Caenorhabditis elegans: one gene and its partners. The protein of the gene in region 4 purifies or fractionates together with the protein of the main gene of each other region. This does not show direct contact. Each region holds a gene or a part of one and is shown on either strand. Other genes may lie near its edges.

Region 1 (5,787 bases), on a different chromosome or scaffold from region 4:
TTACGCTGAACAACATTTCAGTTGGCAACTTTTTGATAACTCTTCTAGTTTTTCAGTTATTTGCGATTTAGTCGGAAAACTATTTGAAAAACCTGAAATTTGCGAAATTCAGCTGAAATTTCTGATGTTCTCCATTAAAACATCTGCCTGCATGTTGCATTACCCTGGAAAAATTATTGACACTAGCGGGGACTCGAACCCCTGGCTTTTTTCACCATAGCCGTCCATCTACCCAGTTGAGCCACTTTCACCATTTTTCAAAAATGCTGGCTAAAGCTGGAATTTAGGTGTCCCTGGTGTAGAATTTCACGGTTATTTTGAATATCAGATTTTCAGCCAGTTTGGTTCACCGGGAGCAGGTAGGAGCTCCGCGAGCAGTTTTAGGTGTCAAATTCGAAAATTACAAAATATTCTAAATGGGGGTCAATTCGGTGCAGAATTTTACGCTGAACAACATTTCAGTTGACACTTTTTTGATATCTACTCTAGTTTTCGAGTTATGCTTCGAAAAAGTCATAATTTTCATTAAAAAATAACTTTTTATTGCAAATTTCAACACACACACACACACACCATAAATAAGAGCAATAAATGTGACATTTTACAGTTTTAAAGAGTTAATCGAATTTTCCACTTCCAGAAGTGGCTGCATGAAGCCACTTGTCCACAGTATGAACGTCGTAAGAGGTGACGAATTTGACACGGCGATGGGTGTGCTGAAAATTGGTTTATTAAACAAAAAATTGATAATATCTAGATTTTGGACTGTCTGAGTGTTGTATATCTATTGTATATAACATTAAAAATACTAATAAACCCAAAGGGATTCGAACCCCTGACCTATTTCACAATAGCCTCATCAATCTACCCACCTGAGCCACTTCGCCCCATTTTCAAAATTGCTGGCTAAGGCTGGAATTCAACCGTACCTGATGTAGAATACTACGGGGAACCCAAAAATCATGTTTTAAATAAGTTTGGAACACCATGAGCAGCTAAAAGCTCCGTGAGCAATTTTGGGTATCGACCTTGAAAATTTGAAAATTTTTTATATGGGGGTCAAATCGATGCAGAATTTCACGCTGAACAACATTTCAGTTGGCAACTTTTTGATAACTCTTCTAGTTTCCGAGTTATGCCTCAAAAACTATACAGAACCCCAGATTTTTTGTTTTCACCTGATTCGGAGCTTCCTCATTCGACCACAGTTGCTCGGTCCAATCAACCACAACCTGCCCACGTGTCTTTGTTCCATTCAGCTCTACATCGACATACAGGTACTGAGACTTTTTTGCAATTTTATCCTCATCGATTGCAGTAGCCACAGCGATCTCGTCGCAGTAGGAGTATTGGCGGCCGTTGGCCTCGCATTTTACGCGGCCTGGAACATACAAATCGAATTTAGGAACTCTAAAAAAAAAATGTACTTGTTGACTAATCTACAGACCTTCGAACTCTAAAAAAATTATTGACACACTAGCGGGGCCTCGAGAAGCCCGGACCTATTTCACCAAAGCCGTACATGTACCCAGTTGAGCCACTTCGACCCCTTTACAAAACTGCTGGCTAAGGCTGGAAGTTGAGTTTTCTGGGTGTAGGATTTTGCGGGTTATCCGAAAAACGAAATTTCAATACGTTTGAAGCATTGGGAAAGGCTAGGAGCTCCGCGAGCAATTTTAAGTGTCAAATTCGAAAATTTGAAAATTATCGACATGGGGGTCAAATCAATGCAGAATTTTACGCTGAACAACTTTCCAATTGACAGTTTTTTTTTGGTATCTAGTATCTACCCTAGTTTTCGAGTTATAACTTTAAAAAACCTTACCAATGCTGGTGGCCAGCGATAAGTAATTAGCCAATGGGGTTCCATACTTCAAATGAGCCGAAAAATCAACTGAAGCATCATGGGTCTTTGATTCAAAATAGAATGCCTCCCATGGAACAATGGTGATGGGACACTTCATACGTCGGAGCACAATGCTCGCGGCTTCCGGGTCTCCGTGGAAGTTGTACTCGGCTGAGGAACCTGGAAAAATTAGGGGGGCTTTTTGGGGTTTGACGGGTCTGTATCTCCGTCGGTTTTGGGTTTGTCAACAAATTGTTAACTGATGAAATGTTTGTTACATGTTTCTGAACAGGTTTATAGTTGAAACTTTTCTAATATCTCAAAAATGAAACGAGATATGGCCCGCCAAAGTGGTCCACCCTAGTTTTTTTTTTGAAGAACCTACCTCCATCAACATTTCCGACCGCGTAATAATTTCCTCCCATGATTACCAGCCGGGATGGGTACGTCGAAAACTCCTCGCAGAGTTGGAGAGCAATCGCCACGTTTGTGAGGGGACCGATGGTTCTGAAAAATGGTTTTGTTGAAAATTTAGGGAAAATTGAGCAAAAATAGATTAAAATCGAAATTTGACACCCAGAATAGCTCGGCGTAGGCGAAAATGTAGGAGGACTGTATGGATACTGTAGGAGTACCGTAGGACTTTAAAAGGGTAATGTTGAGGTACTATAGGGGTAATGTAGGGGTACTGTAGGAGTACTGTAGGGGTACTGAAGCGGTACTGTAGGGTTTCTGTAGGGGGTCTATTGGGGTAGGGTAGGGAAACTGTCCAGGTACCAGGGATACTGTAGGGGTACTGTAGAAATACTGTAGGTATACAGTTATGGTACCATAGGGCTTTAGTGGAATTAGTGTAGGGTTACTGTAGGGTTACTGTGTGTGTACTGTGGGGGGAACAGTAGGGGTACTGTAACACTATTGTGTGAGTACCTGTTCGGTTACCAGAGGTACTGTAGGGTTATGTAGGGGATCTGTTGGGGTACTGTCGGGGTACTATAGGGTTACTGTAGAGTTGCTGTAGGGATACTGTAGTGTTACTGCAAGGGCACAGTGGGGAACTGTGGGGATACAGTAACACTACTGCGTGAATACTAGAGGGGAACTGTCCGGGGTACCAGGGATAGTGCAGGGGTACTGTGGGGTACTGTAGGGATAGTGCAGGGGTACTGTGGGGTACTGTAGGGATAGTGCAAGGGTACTGTAGGTCGCTGTGGGGGTACTGTAGGGGTACTGTAGGGATGCGGTGGGGGTACAGAAGGGTTACTGTAGCCTCAACTTACACCAAAGTGGCATCCCGATTCTCTCTCAAAATATCGATTAAAGCAAGTGACGCATGCTTCCCCTCCCCCTCAAAATCGGATCTTTCGACTTTCGGGAACTCCTCCGGCTTATCACCGATCCCATCGATCCCGAAAAAATCGGATACGGTATCATCCTTCGGCAGCGACAAAATCGATTTAGCCGCACCCTTGTACACTGGGATATTGCTCCGATCGTTGGCTCGGATGGTTCTTTTGATGTTCGCACAGGCTTGATCTACTGTCACACAGCCGTGGACTGCGGTGAATGCGAGAATTTCGGCTTTTGGGTGCTGCAAGGCTAGGGAGATGGCTCGCACGTCGTCGCTTACACCGTCAGAGTCTGAAAATCGATTAATTTTTGTTTTTAAAGCTTAAAATTTGGTAAACTTTATGTAAAACTTTAAAAATCGATAAAACTCGCTAAGCAAGCGCGCTCCAGTGAACTAGTCCGTTTTCCGACGCTAATTTCAAATTTTCAAGTGTTTTTTGACGAAAATAAGTGGAAAATTTGAAGACTTCTTGTTTTTTTTTAAATTAGAATTCTCGTTTATCATCTGAAAATCCGAAAAAATCGATTATTGAAGCGTCTAGACTCGTTTTTTTAAATCGCCAAGCAATGCAATCACGCTCCAATGACAAACTCAGTTTTCTGGCGGGAAGCTCGAATTTTCCAGTGTTTTAACGAAAATCTTCGGAATTAATACGTTTTCGGTGTATTTGAACGTAGAAAAGTAGAAATTTTAAAAAAGAAAAGAAAAAACTCGAGTTTTAACGAATTTTATAGAATTTTTTACTCAAAAATTGGTTTAAATTTGTTTTTATTCTCCGTTTAACTCACCAATGACCAGCTTAACCTTGTCCACAGTCATGTTGTCTTTTTTCTGAAGAGCGTAATGTTATTAAAGTGAAAAAATTAAACTTAAAATAACTAAATAAATATATGAATTATTTCTCGTCGCAAAAAACGCAACATTTGGGCAAAAATCAATCTGTCACCTGAATAATGCACACAATCTTATCATTTTTTATCAATTCTTATCGCATTTTCTTCGATTATTCTCGCTTTTTCGCCGTAATTCCGCATAAATGCGATAATTCGCGAAAAAACTACGGTTTTTCTTAAAGGCGCATAGCTCAAAACTTCAAATAGGTCTCGCCACGAATTCAGTGATGTGAGGGATTCGATGGAATTTTGAATTTTTAAAATCGATTTTTGCGATTTCTAGACGGTTTTTCGCCGTTTTTTCGGAGATTTTTGACGAAAAATGGAGAATTTCGACGGAAAATCGATGCCGCCAACTCCGGTGCCAATCGGATCAAGTCAGGTAGGGCAAAAATCCGGAAAAATCGATACAATTCACAAAAAATCCGAATTTTTTCCAGTTCTACCGCTGGATGCCGCACCCGATCGTCGATACACCACCGTCAGATGCTACGTGGCGCAAACCGGTGCCACGCGGCCGAATTCGTGATCTCGTCGCCGCGTTCGATCAGTGCTCCGGCATGCTGGAGCAGAAGCCCCCACCTCCGCCCACGCAAAGGGTTGAAAGTCTTGAAAATGGTGCGGAAATCAATCGATAATTGAGAAAATCGATAGGGGAATGCGAAAAAACTGGAAAAAAATGGGGAAAATTGAGAAAAATTGAGGAAAATGAGAAAAAAAAACCATTTCCCCCGGTATTTCTCCTATTCAAATGCAAATTTATAAATTCACATGTATTGTTAATTTATTTGCACTGTCAACACACCAACTATACAGTTTTTACATGGAAAATTGATTTTTTAGAAAAAACAATCGGAAAATCCCAAAAGTTTTGGGAAAAATCCAGAAAAAATGGGATTTTTCGCAAGTTTTCGGATGAAAATTATGGTTTAAATTGAATTTTGAGTGGAAATTTGCAAAATTGGACTTTTTCAGAGAAAATAGTTATAATTTGCAAAAAACTAATTTTTAGAAATTTTTTTTTCCAAAAATTCAAAAAAATTTTTTTTTTCAAAATTTTCATTTTAATTGGCAATTTACCATTGAGTTTCTGGTGAATTTCGAAAATTTTCTCTAAAAAATCCTGAAAAAACGGAAAAACCTCTGGAAAATTCTAAATTTCCAGCAAAACCACCAAAATTGTCGGATTTTGTGTTAAAATTCTGTAATTTTCGGTGGAAAAATCGCTAAAATTTAGAATTTTGTGATTTTAAGCTAATTTTAAGGAATATTGTGAAAAAAATTAAATTTTTTAAGAATTAAAAAAAATTTCAAAAAATTTTTTTTTTTTTCAAAAATTAAAAAAAAATTTTTTTTCGAAATATTCACTTTTTATTGGGAATTTTACGAATTTTGAGCGAATTTTAAAAAAATTCCAAAAAACGATAATTTTTTTGCAAAAAAAATTTTTTTTCGAAAAAAAAATTCAAGTTTTTCCAACTTTTCACATTTTTCTCAAAAATGATCTTCAAAATTCGAAATTTCCCGCCAAAAATAACCCATTTTTCTTCCAGAACACATTGCTCCACCGCCAACTTCAAAATCCTCCAAAATTCCGGAAATTCTCGCCAAAAAATCGGAAAAATACATCTCACCGTACGAAAAACGTCATTTTCATGGTCGTCGTGGCACCCAGGCTGTCGTTTTTAATTCGAATA
Region 2 (6,916 bases), on a different chromosome or scaffold from region 4:
GCTTCTCCAGGAGCCGGTGGATTGTTTGGTGGTGGATCAGCTAGTACTGGCTTCGATGATCCAGCTTTTGCAGCTGATGCTAAGCCTGAAAAATCAACGACCGATACTATCACAGAGACGTCGGTTACTGGATCAAGAAAATGAAGATTTAAGTGTTTCTCACTGTGATATATGGACTTTGTACATACTTTTTAGAAATAAAATATATTTCTGTGTATTAAAGATTCTTGTCTTGATTTTGTAACAAATACAAATATCATTTAGATTAATTAATAGTCTATACTTATAGTGCCAAAAAGATCAAATATTATAGTGAAATTAATCAAAATGTTGTTCACAATATTGCTGATTTCTTTTTCAGATCCCCTAAAATTTTCAACAGAAGTTTGACTGGAGATATAGCGGTGGACATCTCACGGGTCTACTTTTAGATGATTTTTTTTTAAACCTCTGTAGCTTTGGAACAAAAAAAACTTTTCATAGGAACAGTTCTAATGATAAAATACTTTGAATAAACATATTTTTAAAATAACTACATATTTTAAAACACTTCATTTATTTGCATCATGGCATATTTTCAACTACTAAGAAATAGGGGCTAAGACTTCAATCAACTTGTGCAAAGAATGGCGAGAAAAAAAATTGTGAGAACCTATGGAAGCTTAGTAAAAAGAGACAATTTAGACGAGCAAAGATTTAATATAGACCATGAGAACATTTACAATACCGAGTAAGTGTAACACACAAAAAAAAGTATTATGACAGACAGAAAAAAGTAGTCGCTATGGAGACATCAAAACTTTTCAGAACATGTGTGAGTCGGCGCTTTCTTCTTCAACAGATTCCAAAATTGCAGAACTTTCAACGGTCGAACGATGACGAGCGAGAACACGGAGAAGTGGACGCAGAGCCATCCACCTGAAATTTTTAAATTGAAATTTATCGCAGAATGTGTCCAGGAGCGTTCATTGTCATTAGAGCGCGCTTACTAACAACTAACAAATTCTCGAATACGCGGGAATCAGCTTCCACAGGAAATCAGTTTTTGAAAACATATTTTTTGGGTTCTACGGAAATTATTGTCAAATTTTTAATTTACATTATTGCTGACTATGAGGAACATTAAGCGAATGGCAAACATGTAAAATTGGGCTCTTACGGCCGAGAACGAAAGTTTTTTTTTTAAACAGTCATCACAGAAATTATAAACAATTCATATCCGGCGGTGATTAACTTCATGATTTTTGAAATTACACAGTTATAAAGATCTACGTGATTTTTTCAAATTTTAAATGTTGAGAACTAATCAAATCAATAAGTAATCAAGGGATTTCATGAATATGCATCTTCTCTACAAAATGATCAACCAAATACCGGCCTAAAATCGAAAAACTGACTGTTATGATACAGTTTCCAAAATTTCCTAAATTTACACACTTTCGATTTGTATATCGAAAATGTTTAACAAATCATAACAATAATATAAATCGGAAAAAAAATCTTCTAAAGGAGCCAAAAACTAGCCAAAGAAACTGATTTTTGATAGAAACAAATTACCGCGCGAGTTTGTAAGATGTCAGAAAGTGCGCTCTAACGCTAGAGGAAATCGTGCTCCACGAGTATTGCATATAGCCCTTAAACTTATGGTTTAGATATTTAACAAGAATACAGACATGCTGTATTCCATTATGTTATTTTTAGTCTAGAGATTGAATAGTTTTTTCTACAAACTACTTGTCCACTAACCATTGCTCTGATGGAAGACGATGCTCAAAATCGGTCTCCTTCTTGAGATCTTGCACCGGCGTGAACACCACCTTTCGTCCTTTGAGTCCAAGAAGCGTCGCAGTATGGGCTGACTTGGCGATCACCTTGTTATCGGCCGTCAAATTTTCCTTGAGCTGAATGAGCAAAAACTCCAAAGCACGAGCGGCCAGCTTGGTTCCCATATTTCTGTCGAACGGCGTTGGAGATCCACCCTGTTGAACATGTCCGAGAACATTGACTCTTGTGGTGAAGTTCTTCTTTCCTTCAGAATCAAAAAGATTCTGCACAAAATCTGTGGTGAGGTTCTTGTCGGCCCACTCATTTCTGACAACCAAGTAGCGTTTCGCTCCAACTTCCATCTTTGAGAGAATCACATCAACATCATCGGAGAGGTCTTGAACGGTGAATGGCTCTTCAAAAATGTACGCATTATCCGCACCGGAGCTCAACGCAGAAAGAGTGGCAAGGTAACCACAGTATCCTCCCATTGTTTCGACAATGAAAACTCTTCTCTTGGTACCAGTGGCAGATTGCTTGATTTTGTCGATCATCTGGCAAATCTCATTGATCGCGGTATCGGATCCGAGAGACACCATAGTTCCTAAAATTAGAAATGTATTGTTTAAAAACCTTATATAATGAAAAACAAACCTGGAACATTGTTCGAGATGGTGCATGGGATGACACACATTGGAATGCAAAACTCGGGATACTTTTCGCGATTTTCAGCAAGAATTATTGTGCTGTGATACGCTTCAAATCCTCCAACAAGCAATAACGCTTGAATATTGTGCTTCTTCAGTTGAGCAGCAAGTTGAGGCATAGTTTTCTCAGTTGGAAGACTTTTCTGTGTGCCAAGGAACGATCCTCCGTTCATTGCCCAGTTAGTAACATCGGACCACTTGAACTGTTTGAATGACCCATTGGCAAGTCCCTCAAAACTGTCTTCAATACCGTACACGGTACACTGATGGTAGAGAGCCATTCGAACATAAGAGCGGACGGCTGCATTCATTCCACCGGCTGGAGCGCCAACGTTGATTACAGCAACATTGAATTTGTGTCCTTCCGAAAGATTGTCCTTTTCGACGGTTCTCATCTTAGTCAGCAACTTGTACGTTTCAAGATTTCTCTGGAAACTGCGTCCACGAAGCATCACAGCCGTGGTCCAGTCCTTATCCGCCATTGCCTTCTGTACCATTTGAGTTCGTTCGACACACTTGAGAAGTGGCACACGGACCATAACATTTCCGTCAATTGAGATAACACAAGGTTCTGATTCCTGAAATAAAAAAAAATTATACTTCTTTTCTTTCAAGCAGGAATAACGGTTTGAACGGTGAAAGTGTAGACCCAAAATGTGCTCAAATAAACGAAAAAATTTGTAAATTTCGTTATGAAGCTTTGCAAAAAATGTTCAAACTTTTTTCTTTGACTGTACAAAATGTTAGAAAAAATAGTCTAAAATCTCTAATTCTGAGCTTTTTTCGGTGTCGAAGCTGCCTGAAATTGATTTTTTGAGCGCATTATTATCTTTTATTGCATTTACTAATTTTTGACATTTTTTGGTCACCTACCGGTTTTAAATATACCTTGACTAGGGCTTCCATGTGGCGCCGGTAAGGCGTCAGCGCCGGCTTCACGCCGCAAATCGCGCCACAGGTATAGTACGGCGCGGAACCCCCAAAGTGTCGACCGCTGCCATCTTTGCGAACTACGTTGCGCACACGTCAAATTTCTCTTTTCACGCCAAGCTGCGAAACAGCGGCAGACGGTGAAGGAGGTCCGGCGGGAGGCCCGTGGAGGCGCCAACGCCGCGCCTCTCTCACAAGGAAGCCCTAACCTTAACTATCAAAATAATATGAGATGAAGGAACAAAATTTACGACAAAGTTCGATAATCCAAAAAAGCCAACTTCGGGCCGCTGCGGCACTGAAAAAAACTACAATTAAGATTTTTGTTAATTTGAAAACATATTGGTTCATACGTTCAAACCATTAATGAAAAATTCACAGAAAATCCCAGAAACCTCAGTCATCTCCATGAGAGCAAAAACTGCTTCTGCTCCCATTCTACATCCAAGAAGTCGATCAAAAGCAGATGGAGCACCTCCGCGTTGAACATGTCCAAGAATTGTAACGCGTGTATCGTATTTCAGCTTCTCCTTGACAGCAGTCTTCACATCCTCGGCGGTGATAGCCTTTCCATCACGATCAATAGCTCCCTCGGCGACAATAATGATGTTAAGACGTTGACCCTCTGATCTCATTTGAGAAAGTTTGTCGCACAAGACGTCACGCCAATTTTCCGGTGCCGGCCATTCAGGAATGAAGCAGAAGTCGGCTTCGGAAGCTAGAGCAGCAACTAGAGCCAGATATCCACAATGGCGACCCATGACCTAGAGTAAAATAAGTATATGAATTATTTTCTTGATAAATTGAGATCACCTCAATAACAAAAGCCCTTTGATGACTTTGTGCAGTTGCGACTACAGCATCAATAGAACTGATAATTCTTTGAAGTGCCGAGTCGGTTCCAATCGTCATGTCGGTTCCACAAAAATCGTTGTCGATGGATCCGACAAGTCCGACAATTTGAATGTAAGGAATCTTTTTCGCAGCCGCCGCAGTGACTCGTTGATTTTTCACAAGTTCTTGCACAAGATCGGTCCACTCCAAACGGAAAGTGTTGGCTCCAGTGAGAGATCCATCTCCACCAATGCATACAAGACGACCAATTCCACGATTAATCAGGTTGGTGGCTGCCTGGAAATTTAATTTTAACTTTCAAAACTTTCAAAAATTTGTTTTATTGGGCTAATTATTTTCTCACCTTGAGACGCCCTTCACGAGTTCTGAATTCGGAAGATCTTGCGGAACCAATGATAGTTCCTCCTTGCTGAATAATATCGGAAACGGTGTTCCACGTGGCTTCCTTGATGAAATCTCCACCTTCAATCATTCCTTCGTATCCTTCGTAGATCAAATACACTTTACATCCACAGTATATAGCCATTCTTGTGATACTTCGAACAGCGCTGTTCATACCTGGAAAATAAAGTTTCAAACGTATTCTTACAAGGAAAAGTTTGAATTTTATTAAAAGTGAAATGAATTTTATATGGAGACTCCACACAAAATTTTCATGGCAGGTCAAAATTTCAAATTTTGCCCTAATTCATTCGTACCTTGAGAGTCTCCTCCGGACGTGTAAATCGCGAGAGTACGTCCCTTGAAAATATCCGACGCAATCTCAGTTCCTTCTCTTCCAGCAGTTGGGACGATTGAGTCGAAGCGGCGCAAAGCTCGCTGACGGATAAAGTCGAGCTCTTCTGGCGTGATTGTTGATGCGTCCGCGTCCATTTCGAATTATGCAAAATTCTGTAATTTATGACAATAGTATTTAACACGAAGGATGAGAAAAATGGGATGAGAAGAATGAAAAAATTTTGAGAAGAAAAGGATAAATCTGAGAACTGCAAGAGAAAAATGTTGACAAGCAAAAACTGATTAATCGATGCGGACAATGAATGCGCGTAATACAGTGTGGCAGGGACCATTGTGGTTAGAAAGTGCGCGACGCAGATACAACAAGGAAAACACAGAAACAAACAACTGCGCGCGGTCATATTACCCTGTGGAAGGTCAACTTTTAATTATTATTTTTATAGGAGGAGCATTGAGTGGTTCTGGACATTTTAAATTCAATGAATTTTGTAATGAAACTTCCAAATTTTTTTCAAAATTTTTTATGTCGGTTTGAAATTTTAAAAATTTAAAAATTCAAAAAAAAACCTATTTCAGCTAAAATCTCTAATTTTGTCCATTTTTTCGTGTTGCATCGGTCCGAAGAAATTAACTTTTTTTCAAATTATTATATTTAATGGCATAGCTTGACTTCATTTCGTTAATTAGGATACATCGTATTTTTTCTAATGTAGTATACATTGCACTCCATTACTCAACTTTGACAGCTTAAATCTCAGTTGGCGTTTGTTTTATTGAAAACTGATCAACTGAAAAAACACTTATTTTTATTTTTTTCTATATATTTGCAGTTGACAGTTTATTGATATTTTTTAAACGAACATAGATATATCCTTTTGGAGTAAAGTAATTGGATGATATACTATTAGAGGAAATACGTAATTTACAGCTGATAGGTAACCTAAAATAAAAAAAAATAGGTCACCTATCGGCTTTAACTGTACTATAATCAAAAAAAAAACAAGAGATGAACGACCAAATATGCAACAGAGGATTGAAAAATCAAAAAAAAAGTATTGCCAAAATTGAAGATTTTAACTAAAATTAGGCCATGTTTTTTCGAAATTTTGAACCGCCATAAAAGTTTATTGAATTAGTTTAATCCATTTGAGTAGATATTAAGTTTAAACGTTCAAAATAATACCGAAACTTCAACAAACAAACGTTTTATTTAGTTCCTTTGGTATAAGAAAACAATGAATGATGCCAAGTGAGAAGTGATAGTGATTGAAATGGAGAGAGAAAAGATGCAGAGTAAATAATGAGTGTGACGAACGCATGGGAAAAAAGAAAAGTAGAAAAAAGCCAAAAATAAAAGGTTTCGACTTTGAAATATGCTATGGCAAGTACACATGATGCAATACACGAAAGAAGCCCCTAGAGGGGGGATGCACTTTTGATCTTGACGCAGGGGACCCAGACAACTGAATGTATTTATACAACAGAAACAAAACATGAAAACCAAAATTGTGAATTACATTTTCCTATCAAATCGACTGGATTGAATGAATGATTGGTGTGTTTTCTTCTTCTTCACTTTTTCAGCCTTCAGCAAGGGAAAAAAACTAAGCAGCCAGAAGCAAAGTGCGAGAGAATATGCGTAACACGGAGAAAGAGATCGAGAGAAGACAACGCAAAAAAAACGAAAGCGCGGCCCTTCTGCCTTGCCCCTCGTTTCTCCAACTGCTCAATGTTTTCGACGTGCCAAAACGCATTTTGGATTGAGAAGGAAGAAAACGTAAGGGCCGGGGAGAGAGCACAAAGATTTGATTTCTTATCCGTCATGTCATTTGTGTCTAGTTATCAAAAATAAATCAATTTAAAACATGAATAGAGCTAGTGGAAAAATTTAAAAAAAAAACACGCCTACGGTACCACAATGG
Region 3 (3,974 bases), on a different chromosome or scaffold from region 4:
AAAAAAATTTTTACGAATTAAAAACTCCTGCGCGGTCCTGAAAAGAAAAACATATTTTCCATGAAAAATATTAAATTTGTCTTAAAAACTAAATTTTCTCTGGATTTTTCGATGATTTCCTATAAAAATACACCCTTTTTCCACTGAAAATCCCTTTTTTTCGCTCGAAAATAATTTTTTTGCAAAATTCAGTACCTGACGAATATTCATCTGGCGGATCTCGCTGAACATCGCAACATCGGGAAGGAACTTCATCTGAAATGGGATTATGCGAGTTTTAAGTCCAATTAAAGAATATAAATGAGGAGAATATAAAAAAAAAGATATTAAAAATGGTAAAAAACCAAGTTTTAAGTTCCAAAAAGCAAGTAAAACCAATAAAATGAGATCCTTTAAGGTTTAAACGTAACAGATGGATTTTAAAAAAAGTAAAAATTAAAATATTGTGAAATAACGTGGTGATAGATAAATTATGATACAGCGAATCGTTGAAAACCAGATCATTCCGCTTGGCACAGTCCGAGAAAATCGTCCATCAAGGTTCCGATGGCAAAAATGTCGTTAGCATCGACACGTGTTCCGATGAGCTTCACACGGATCTCATCATCATTCCGAATCACATTCGCCTCATCATTGGTCTTGTAGCACGGTTTCTCACTGTTCGGATCGAATTCCATGTCTGGTGGAATACAATGACGACTGATGAAGCATGAAAGTGGTCCGATATCACAGAAAATGCCGACTTTATTGACCTGTGTGACGACTCCATCGACGACTTGTCCTTTGAACGGGCGGAACACGATGGCCTTGTAACGGACCGGGTAGATGACGAATCCACGGCCAGGCTGGATCAGGCCGTGGCCGATCGTGTCGATTGTGGTGACTGCGATGACGAATCCGTACTTTCCTGTGCACGTTCCCTCGACTTCGTTGAACAGCTTCATTTTGATGGTTTCGTTCAGGTTTGGACCGAAATATTTCGGATGGAGGCAGACTTCATGGTCGAGTGACAAGTGGAAGAACATCTGAAAGTTCTTAAATTTGTATTTAAAAGAGGAAATCGTAACGGTTCTGGGTTTTTTAGTGATTTTTTTTGGTTTAAAACTCAAATTTCTATCGATTTTTGCATGTAAACTCTGTGTTTCAAGCATAAAAATCGTTTTTTAAAATTTAATTTTTACTATTAAAACAGGAGTAATTTTTAACGTTGAAGATCCAAAATGTGCTCAAATGGACGAATTTCGTAATGAAATTTCTCAAAATTCCGAAAAACCCGGCTAAGTTCACTTGTTCAGTAAGCCCGTTCAGAATATACCCAGATTTAAACCAAATTAAAACCGTACAAGCCTATATTGTGAATTTATCTGCACAAATTTGGTTTGGATCTACACAAACCTACACAAATTCAGTTTACATCTACTCAAACTTGCAATCTATGCAAATTATGTTTGAATCTAGACAATCTTGGTTTACATCTGCCCAAAATTAGAATTTTTCATAATATAGGCTTGTACGGTTTAAATCTGGGTATATTCTGAACGGGTTTACTGAGTGGAATAGCGAAATTTGGCCACTTTTCCGCGTCGCGGCGATGGAAAGTTCACTTTTTTTTAAATTATCATCCTTTATTGCTTAAAAACGTGAGATAATCGATCAAATTATGCAAAAAGAGATGAAAATTCCAAAAAAGTCCACTTCCAATCGCTGCGACATGGAAAGTAGCCAGAATTGGAGATTTTACCCGACATAAAAAATGTTCGAGCACTCTTTAAGAATTTTTATTGCAAAATTCGCTTATTTGAGCATATTTCGGTCTTATACATTCAAAATACCTAGAATCTTTACTCCTAAAAGTTAAAAACCCCCTTAGAGAAATTTTATGCACGAATTCTGGATTTTACACACAAAAAATCGATTTCTGATCAAGTATTTATTGCGTAAAACAAGAAAATTGAGTTTTAAAACCAAAAAAAAACAATTAAAAACGAAAAAATCCACCAAAATCTATTCGAAAAATAAATAAATTTCGTACACGAAGCGTAAGCGCACCAGTTGCGTGCCAACGAGACGAAGAATGCGCCAGCAGGCGTCCTTGGCGCATATCTCGTTTTTCTTTTATTTTGCCAACTCCGCTCGGTTTTTCCTCTTTAAAATCGAATATTTCACATATGTACACACTTTCGGCGGGTATCTGGGAGAAATTCTTCAAGAAAAAAGACTATTATGTGGTGATAGTCGGTCTGGATAATGCTGGAAAAACTGTAAGTCTCTTGAATTTGAGATCTCACCGATTAATATCAGAAATTATCGATTTCAGACGTTTCTGGAGCAAACAAAATCTCACTTTGTAAAGGACTACGGGGTTCTGAATCCATCAAAAATCACGGCGACAGTTGGTTTGAATAGTAAGCCTCTAAAATGAATTAAAAATCAAAAAATTTTTTTTTTCAATTTTCAGCTGGAAATGTCGAGCTCAACAACACATGTCTTCATTTCTGGGATCTCGGAGGCCAGGAGAGTTTACGAGAACTCTGGGCGACATATTACGACGATGCAAATGCCATGATTTTTGTTGTGGACGCAACAAGGAGCGATCTCTTCCCAATAGTAGCATCTCAGTTTAGTAAGTAGTTTGAAATTGAAATAAATCAAATTTATACCAGAAATAATAATAATAATACGAATATTTCAGAAGAAGTAATGGCCAACGAAATAGTTCAAAATATTCCAGTTTTAGTAGCGGTGAATAAAAGTGAAATGGAAGGAGCCGCCGCTGCCGCTGAGGTCAGATTTTTCTCAAAAATCGAAAAAAAAAACCGAAATTCCTGCATTAAAATCATATTTTCCAGGTCCGAATGCTGCTCGAAGACGACAATCACCGCTCGGACCTTGCAGTTCTTCCGGTTTCGGCGCTAGAAGGAACAAATATCGAAAGATGTGTTCACTGGATCGTCCGATCGTTGGCTAGCCAGCCATTATACCTTTAACCTCTCGGGTAGCTGTATATAATAATTATAATCTATTGCATACTGACATGAATAGAAGAATCCTGTGATGATTTCCTAACCTCACTGCAACTTTTTTGAATGAGGGACGAGGAAATACGGTTTCTAGGCCACGGCCGGGGATCCGACAAGATTTAGCGGCAATTTATTTTGCTTTGTTTTCCGCGTTTTTTCTTTGGTTTTTCACCGATTTTTCTCCCGTTTTTTTCTTATTAACACTGATGAATAAATATTTTTTGCAGATGCTAGAACAATTTCCAACTGAAAAATTGTGTAGCGATGGATTACGGGAATACTAAACCTAAACTTTTTCCGAATCATGAAATATATGCTGCTTAGAGGCTGAAACTACCTGATTTTCATAACGAGACCGCTGAAAAAGTTTTGAGATTTTTAAAATTCAACTTTTTTGGTGAAAAAGTCGATATTTTCGCACAAAATGTTGAATTTTAAAAATCTCAAAACTTTTTTTCAGCGGTCTCGTTATGAAAATCAAGTAGTTTCAGCATCTAAGCAGTATATATATCATGTTTCGGAAAAAGTTTAGGTTTGGTATGCCTGTAATCCATCATATTACATTGATCATTTTCACCGCTTCTTGCCGATTGTTCTAGCATCTGCGAAAAAATATTTATCCATCAGTTTTAATAGGAAAAACGGGAAAAAAAACTGTGAAAAACAAAAAAAAAAACAAGCGGAAAACAAAGCAAGATAAATTGCCGCTAAATCTTGTCGGATCCTCGGCCATGGCCTAGAAACCGCATTTCCTCGTCCCTCGTTTAAGAAAAGTTGCAGTGAACCCCTTCCCCTCTACCATGTTTTAATACGGTTTCGGCTGATCTGACTTATTACACAAAAAAATGATATTAGTATTTAAGTATTAAATATTTTTGTTTATATCGTGCAATAAAAATTCTTTTTTTAATTGATTATTTACAAAATTTCAGAAAACGAAAGCTTGTGAGTTAT
Region 4 (4,690 bases):
ACTAACATTATAACAATATATAGCTTAAATGAATATTAATTTTATTATACTTTTTCAAAAAATATTCTAAAAATTATGTTTCAATGCGTCAATCAATTCAAGCTCAAGAGCCTAGTGTGGGAGATAAGGAAACAAAAACTGCACGATGTACTCTTCTTTTAGACGATAAGTGATAAGATAAGAAAATTAGGAGAGAGTGAAGAAAGTGAAGAGACGCAGACACACACAACGTGATTTGATTTTTAAGATAGTGGAATTAAAAGGTTCATATTGAAACTCTGTAATAATCGGGTTTCCAGAATTTTTCCGATTTTTTGTTTGTCACAATTTTTAAAAAAATTTCGTTTGATATTATTTTCTTCTGTAACTTATTAAACTTGTCTTAATAAACTTGCCATTTCAAATATTGCAACTTTCTAGAAATTTTGGAACTGTAATTTTTTATCAAAAGAAATTTGGAAACATTTTTAACACTTTTTTAAAATGATAAACTGGAACAGTGAAAATTTTCAATTTTCTAAATTTCATTAGAGATAAATTCATGAAAATTATGAATTTCTAATAAAAATTCAAATTTTTGGTAATTTTTAAATTTCACTGTTTTCCATTGGCATTATTTGTTCTGAATTTTTATAAAATGTATTAGGTTTTAAATATGGAACTTTTGACCATAATTTTTTTTTGGAAAAAAAATTTCTGTGGAGAAATTGAAGCAGAAAAGGAATCTATTGAGAAATTGAAATAGTAACGAAAAAAAAAACATTTTCTGTTTCAGCGAAATTTTTTAATTGTTTAACAATATATTTTAATGGAATACTGACACGAAAAGACAAAAACATAAAAATACAAAACATTCTGACTCATAGATCACATTATTATCATCAAAACAAATAAAACCAAAAACTGATAAACATAATTAATAATCTAAAGTTCCAAAGTGTCAACTCTGCCGATTTTTGATATTATAAAAACCTCTCAATTCCCGAATCACGTGGTAACCCGCCATGCATGACAATTCGATATACATGACCGCCGCTCAAACTGTGCCGATAACACTTTGAATTTATTCATTTTACTGTTTCTAGTGCAAAAACTCTCCGTTTCGTTGAGTTTTGCACTTTTTAGTAGATAATATTTTGAAAACTAACATTTATTTTTAGATTAAAAACTATTTTTGTTCAAGGTAAATTTAAATTTTTAAACCGATTGCATACCTAATGTGAAAAAATTAAAAAAAAAACTTCGACTGTTTTAGAGAGTATGTTTTAAAAAAGTGAGTTTGTAAAATTTTAGTGGTTCGGCATTTTTTTTAATACATTGAAATTGAAATTCAATTTTTTTTCAGTATCAAGATTGGTGCAGCCGCTGTGAAATGTCACCTTTATCAGTATTTTTGTTGAACTTCTGATTTAATTTTTGACAAAATTCACAGAAAAACGAACATTTGCAGAAATTTTTATCAAAAAAATATTTTTTAGAAATTTCCAATGTTTCATCAAGTAACAATAACTGCCAGAACATATTACACTTTGATGGACGGTTTAAATTAACTTCGAATATTCAAAAAGTTGCAGTTTCAGAATTATTTTAATTTGACTTCTTTTTTTTTAATCTCACTTCTTCGAAGAGTGTTTCACCCCTTCTCTAGAATTAACATCCAATAAATGCCAAATTACAGTAGAAAATGAAGAAAGAAGTAACCGAAATTTCATCGTATGATGCCACAAACTTGGTGTTCTACGTAAACGGAAAACGCGTCGAGGAAAAGGATGTTGACCCAAAAATGACACTGGCAACCTACTTGAGAGATAAATGTGAGTTCTTCGATTTTTGGAAAAAAAATTGCTGTTTCCACTAGGCAATATATACGTGTTTCTAGTTTACAAACGTGATGTGCATGAATTGATCTGAAATTCGAAAAAAGAATTTGATTCAAAACAAGCTATCTAGAAATCGTAAATATATAATCCCAAATAGCTAAAAATTTACGAGTTTATTTTATTTTAAGTGAAGCTCACCGGAACAAAAATTGGATGCAATGAGGGAGGATGTGGTGCCTGTACGATAATGATTAGTCATATTGAAAATGGTGAAATCAAGTGAGTTGGGCATGAATGTTTATTTTTTAATAGTAAGTATAGTAAGAAAATATATTTTCGGTTTCAACAATTATTAACAAATTTGTTTTGCATTGTGCTTTCCATTGCATTTTGCAAGGGTTTTTGTCAGATGTTCTTTCAGCAGAGCCGATATTGATTCTCATCACTTTTAAGGGGTTTTTTCTTGAATTGATATCTTGCATCGTTGTAAAAAAGTATTTGAAATTAAAAAGAAGTTTAAAAATGGTAAGGAACTACTTATCTGAACGTATTAGGAGTTTAAAATAGGAATTGGTAATAACGCCAACTTGAAACAGTACAATTTTTGAGAATGTATTTTTTAAAGCCTAATTGTTCCAGACATTTCTCCGCTAACTCCTGTCTTATGCCAGTTTGTGGAGTTTTTGGAAAAGCCGTAACTACTGTGGAGGGTATTGGAAGTGTCGCCAAGAATCGGCTTCATCCAGTTCAGGAGAGACTTGCCAAGTGAGTTGAATTTTTCGTATTGTCGGGAAAACTTATGGAATAATTTTTAGCAATGTTCAGTTATTAAGAACACTTGTAGAAACAGTCAATTTTTTGTTGTTGAAATTTTAAAAATCTTCTGTTTCAAGGGATCCTTTTAAAAACCTGAGATAATACATTTTATTGTTGTAATCAAAATAATCCTAATCCATTCTTCAACTGTTTTGCTTCCAGAGCTCACGGCTCCCAATGTGGATTCTGCACACCTGGATTCGTCATGGCAATGTATGCTTTGTTGCGTAACAATCCAAATCCTACAATATCCGATATTAATTTGGGTCTACAAGGAAACCTGTGCCGTTGTACGGGTTATCGTCCGATTCTTGAAGCATTCTATAGCTTTGCAGTTGATGAAAGTGGAACTTTGAAGGTAAGTTGGGAACCGGGAAATGTCGGATGCTCAAGAAAAGCTAGAAGGTTGTCTTTAACACTCAATATTGCCGTATCATAAAAAAAAGTAACTAGATATGTTCCACATCAAAACTTAAAAAGTAAAATGAAACAGGAGAGCACTCTTAAATCTTTTTTTTTTTCGGAAAACTTGTTTTTTCAATAGTTTTTTGAGCGCCCGACATTTTCTAGTAATTTTCCCTAAAAAAACTGTCGAATTATCCAGGTCACCGAAGAAAATGGCTGTGGAATGGGAGAAAATTGCTGTAAAGTTAAGAAAACTGCATGCGGAGGCTCCGATGAAACTACACCGGGATACACTGGCGGAGAAAGAAAACGAGTAGGTTTTACTTTGAAATTTACAAATTAAAAATTAAAAATTACATGAAAATATTTCAGAAAATCCAACTGAGTGACATGTCGGACTGCAAACCATACGATCCAACTCAAGAGCTCATTTTTCCACCGGAGCTCAAGCTTCATGGATATGAGTCCATGTCGTTTGCCTATGATCATCATCACACCAAATGGTATCAACCTGTCAGTTATGAGTGAGTTTTTTTTTAATTGGATTTGTGAAATTAAACACTCATTAGTTTTGTATTTTCTCATTAGTTTTGTATTCAAAATAGAGAAAAACGCTCATTAAAAGTGAGAGTTTATTTATCCGGAACACGAAAAAGTACAAATATTATGAAAACAAATCGAACTTATTGATTAAATTGAAACGATTTGAATTAGATAAATAAAATAAGTGAAACAGAAAAAAAATTTAACATTTGTTGTTAGTAGAATCGACAAAGAGAGACTCATATATATATATGTATTAAAGATATAGTCTAGTAACAAAACAAATCAATTGCGTGAAACTGTAATTTTTTGTCCAAAAAGTCAATGCAGGGTTTTTGAATTTTTTGGTACAGAAAATTACAGTTTCACGCAATTGATTTTACTAGATTATTTTTATGGTCGAAATTATTTCTCCTATCAACAAGCATCTAACAGTATAACAATTCCAGTGACCTTCTATCACTGAAACGAGAACTTCCTCATGCTCGTCTAATCTCTGGAAATTCCGAGTTGGCAATTGAGCTCAAATTTCGATTCATCGATCTTCCGGCAGTTATCAATCCACGACAAGTAAAAGTACTTCATGAAAAACATTTGGAAAATGATGGAGTTTATATGGGAACTGGAATGTCGTTGACTGATATGGATAACTATTCTGTTCAATTAATGAAAGATCTTCCAAGAGAACAGACTGCAGTGTTGAAGCATGTTCATGAGATGCTCCATTGGTTTGCGGGTATTCATGTCAGAAATGTTGCGGTTAGTACTTTTTTTTCAGATACATATATCAGACGATACAATAATGATCCAAACTTATCAAAAATTTCATAAAAGTTTGAAACAGAAAAATAAACAAATTTATCTCATTTCAGTCAGTTGCTGGAAACATTGCAACAGCATCTCCAATCTCTGATCTCAATCCAATTTGGATGGCATCCAATGCATTGGTCGTTTTGGATTCAGAAGCCCGTGGTGAAAAACGAGTTCATATCGATGAGAAGTTCTTCTTGGGATACAGAAAAACCGTTATTCAACAGGATGAAATTATCAAGGCTGTCATTGTTCCGTTGTTGGAAGAAAATGAGCATTTTGCGGCTTACAAGCAG

The links.
Region 1: the proteins of xdh-1 (region 4) and Y43F8C.13 fractionate together in Caenorhabditis elegans (co-fractionation; one large-scale study listed by BioGRID). This does not show direct contact.
Region 2: the proteins of xdh-1 (region 4) and pfk-1.1 fractionate together in Caenorhabditis elegans (co-fractionation; one large-scale study listed by BioGRID). This does not show direct contact.
Region 3: the proteins of xdh-1 (region 4) and rpb-7 fractionate together in Caenorhabditis elegans (co-fractionation; one large-scale study listed by BioGRID). This does not show direct contact.

What each region holds. Positions count from the first base shown.
Region 1 is NC_003283.11:19,693,371-19,699,157, forward strand, and holds Y43F8C.13 (Nucleoside hydrolase), read right to left. Parts: upstream 4,029-5,787; 5' UTR 4,017-4,028; coding exon 3,986-4,016; intron 3,488-3,985; coding exon 3,127-3,487; intron 2,354-3,126; coding exon 2,232-2,353; intron 2,027-2,231; coding exon 1,826-2,026; intron 1,382-1,825; coding exon 1,179-1,381; intron 717-1,178; coding exon 618-716; 3' UTR 530-617; downstream 1-529. Other genes in the region: ani-3 (Anillin-like protein 3), read left to right, coding at 4,413-4,472, 4,531-4,708, 5,644-5,787.
Region 2 is NC_003284.9:2,939,103-2,946,018, reverse strand, and holds pfk-1.1 (ATP-dependent 6-phosphofructokinase 1), read right to left. Parts: upstream 5,148-6,916; 5' UTR 5,130-5,147; coding exon 4,955-5,129; intron 4,815-4,954; coding exon 4,600-4,814; intron 4,533-4,599; coding exon 4,215-4,532; intron 4,166-4,214; coding exon 3,797-4,165; intron 3,050-3,796; coding exon 2,419-3,049; intron 2,369-2,418; coding exon 1,747-2,368; exon of another isoform or gene 919-1,746; coding exon 804-918; 3' UTR 541-803; downstream 1-540. Other genes in the region: Y41G9A.10 (Prion-like-(Q/N-rich)-domain-bearing protein), read left to right, coding at 1-144. UniProt on the Caenorhabditis elegans protein: Catalyzes the phosphorylation of D-fructose 6-phosphate to fructose 1,6-bisphosphate by ATP, the first committing step of glycolysis.
Region 3 is NC_003279.8:3,030,838-3,034,811, forward strand, and holds rpb-7 (DNA-directed RNA polymerase II subunit RPB7), read right to left. Parts: upstream 2,102-3,974; coding exon 2,033-2,101; intron 1,026-2,032; coding exon 501-1,025; downstream 1-500. Other genes in the region: sec-11 (Signal peptidase complex catalytic subunit SEC11), read right to left, coding at 196-255; Y54E10BR.2 (ADP-ribosylation factor-related protein 1), read left to right, coding at 2,169-2,261, 2,318-2,405, 2,459-2,623, 2,693-2,784, 2,850-2,987.
Region 4 is NC_003282.8:14,409,881-14,414,570, reverse strand, and holds the start of xdh-1 (xanthine dehydrogenase), read left to right. Parts: upstream 1-1,676; 5' UTR 1,677-1,684; coding exon 1,685-1,814; intron 1,815-1,892; exon of another isoform or gene 1,893-1,913; intron 1,914-2,008; coding exon 2,009-2,099; intron 2,100-2,204; exon of another isoform or gene 2,205-2,225; intron 2,226-2,280; exon of another isoform or gene 2,281-2,301; intron 2,302-2,344; exon of another isoform or gene 2,345-2,370; intron 2,371-2,459; coding exon 2,460-2,585; intron 2,586-2,603; exon of another isoform or gene 2,604-2,624; intron 2,625-2,748; exon of another isoform or gene 2,749-2,769; intron 2,770-2,798; coding exon 2,799-2,994; intron 2,995-3,060; exon of another isoform or gene 3,061-3,081; intron 3,082-3,240; coding exon 3,241-3,354; intron 3,355-3,413; coding exon 3,414-3,565; intron 3,566-3,631; exon of another isoform or gene 3,632-3,652; intron 3,653-3,710; exon of another isoform or gene 3,711-3,731; intron 3,732-3,819; exon of another isoform or gene 3,820-3,840; intron 3,841-3,989; exon of another isoform or gene 3,990-4,014; intron 4,015-4,033; coding exon 4,034-4,343; intron 4,344-4,362; exon of another isoform or gene 4,363-4,383; intron 4,384-4,456; and 1 more.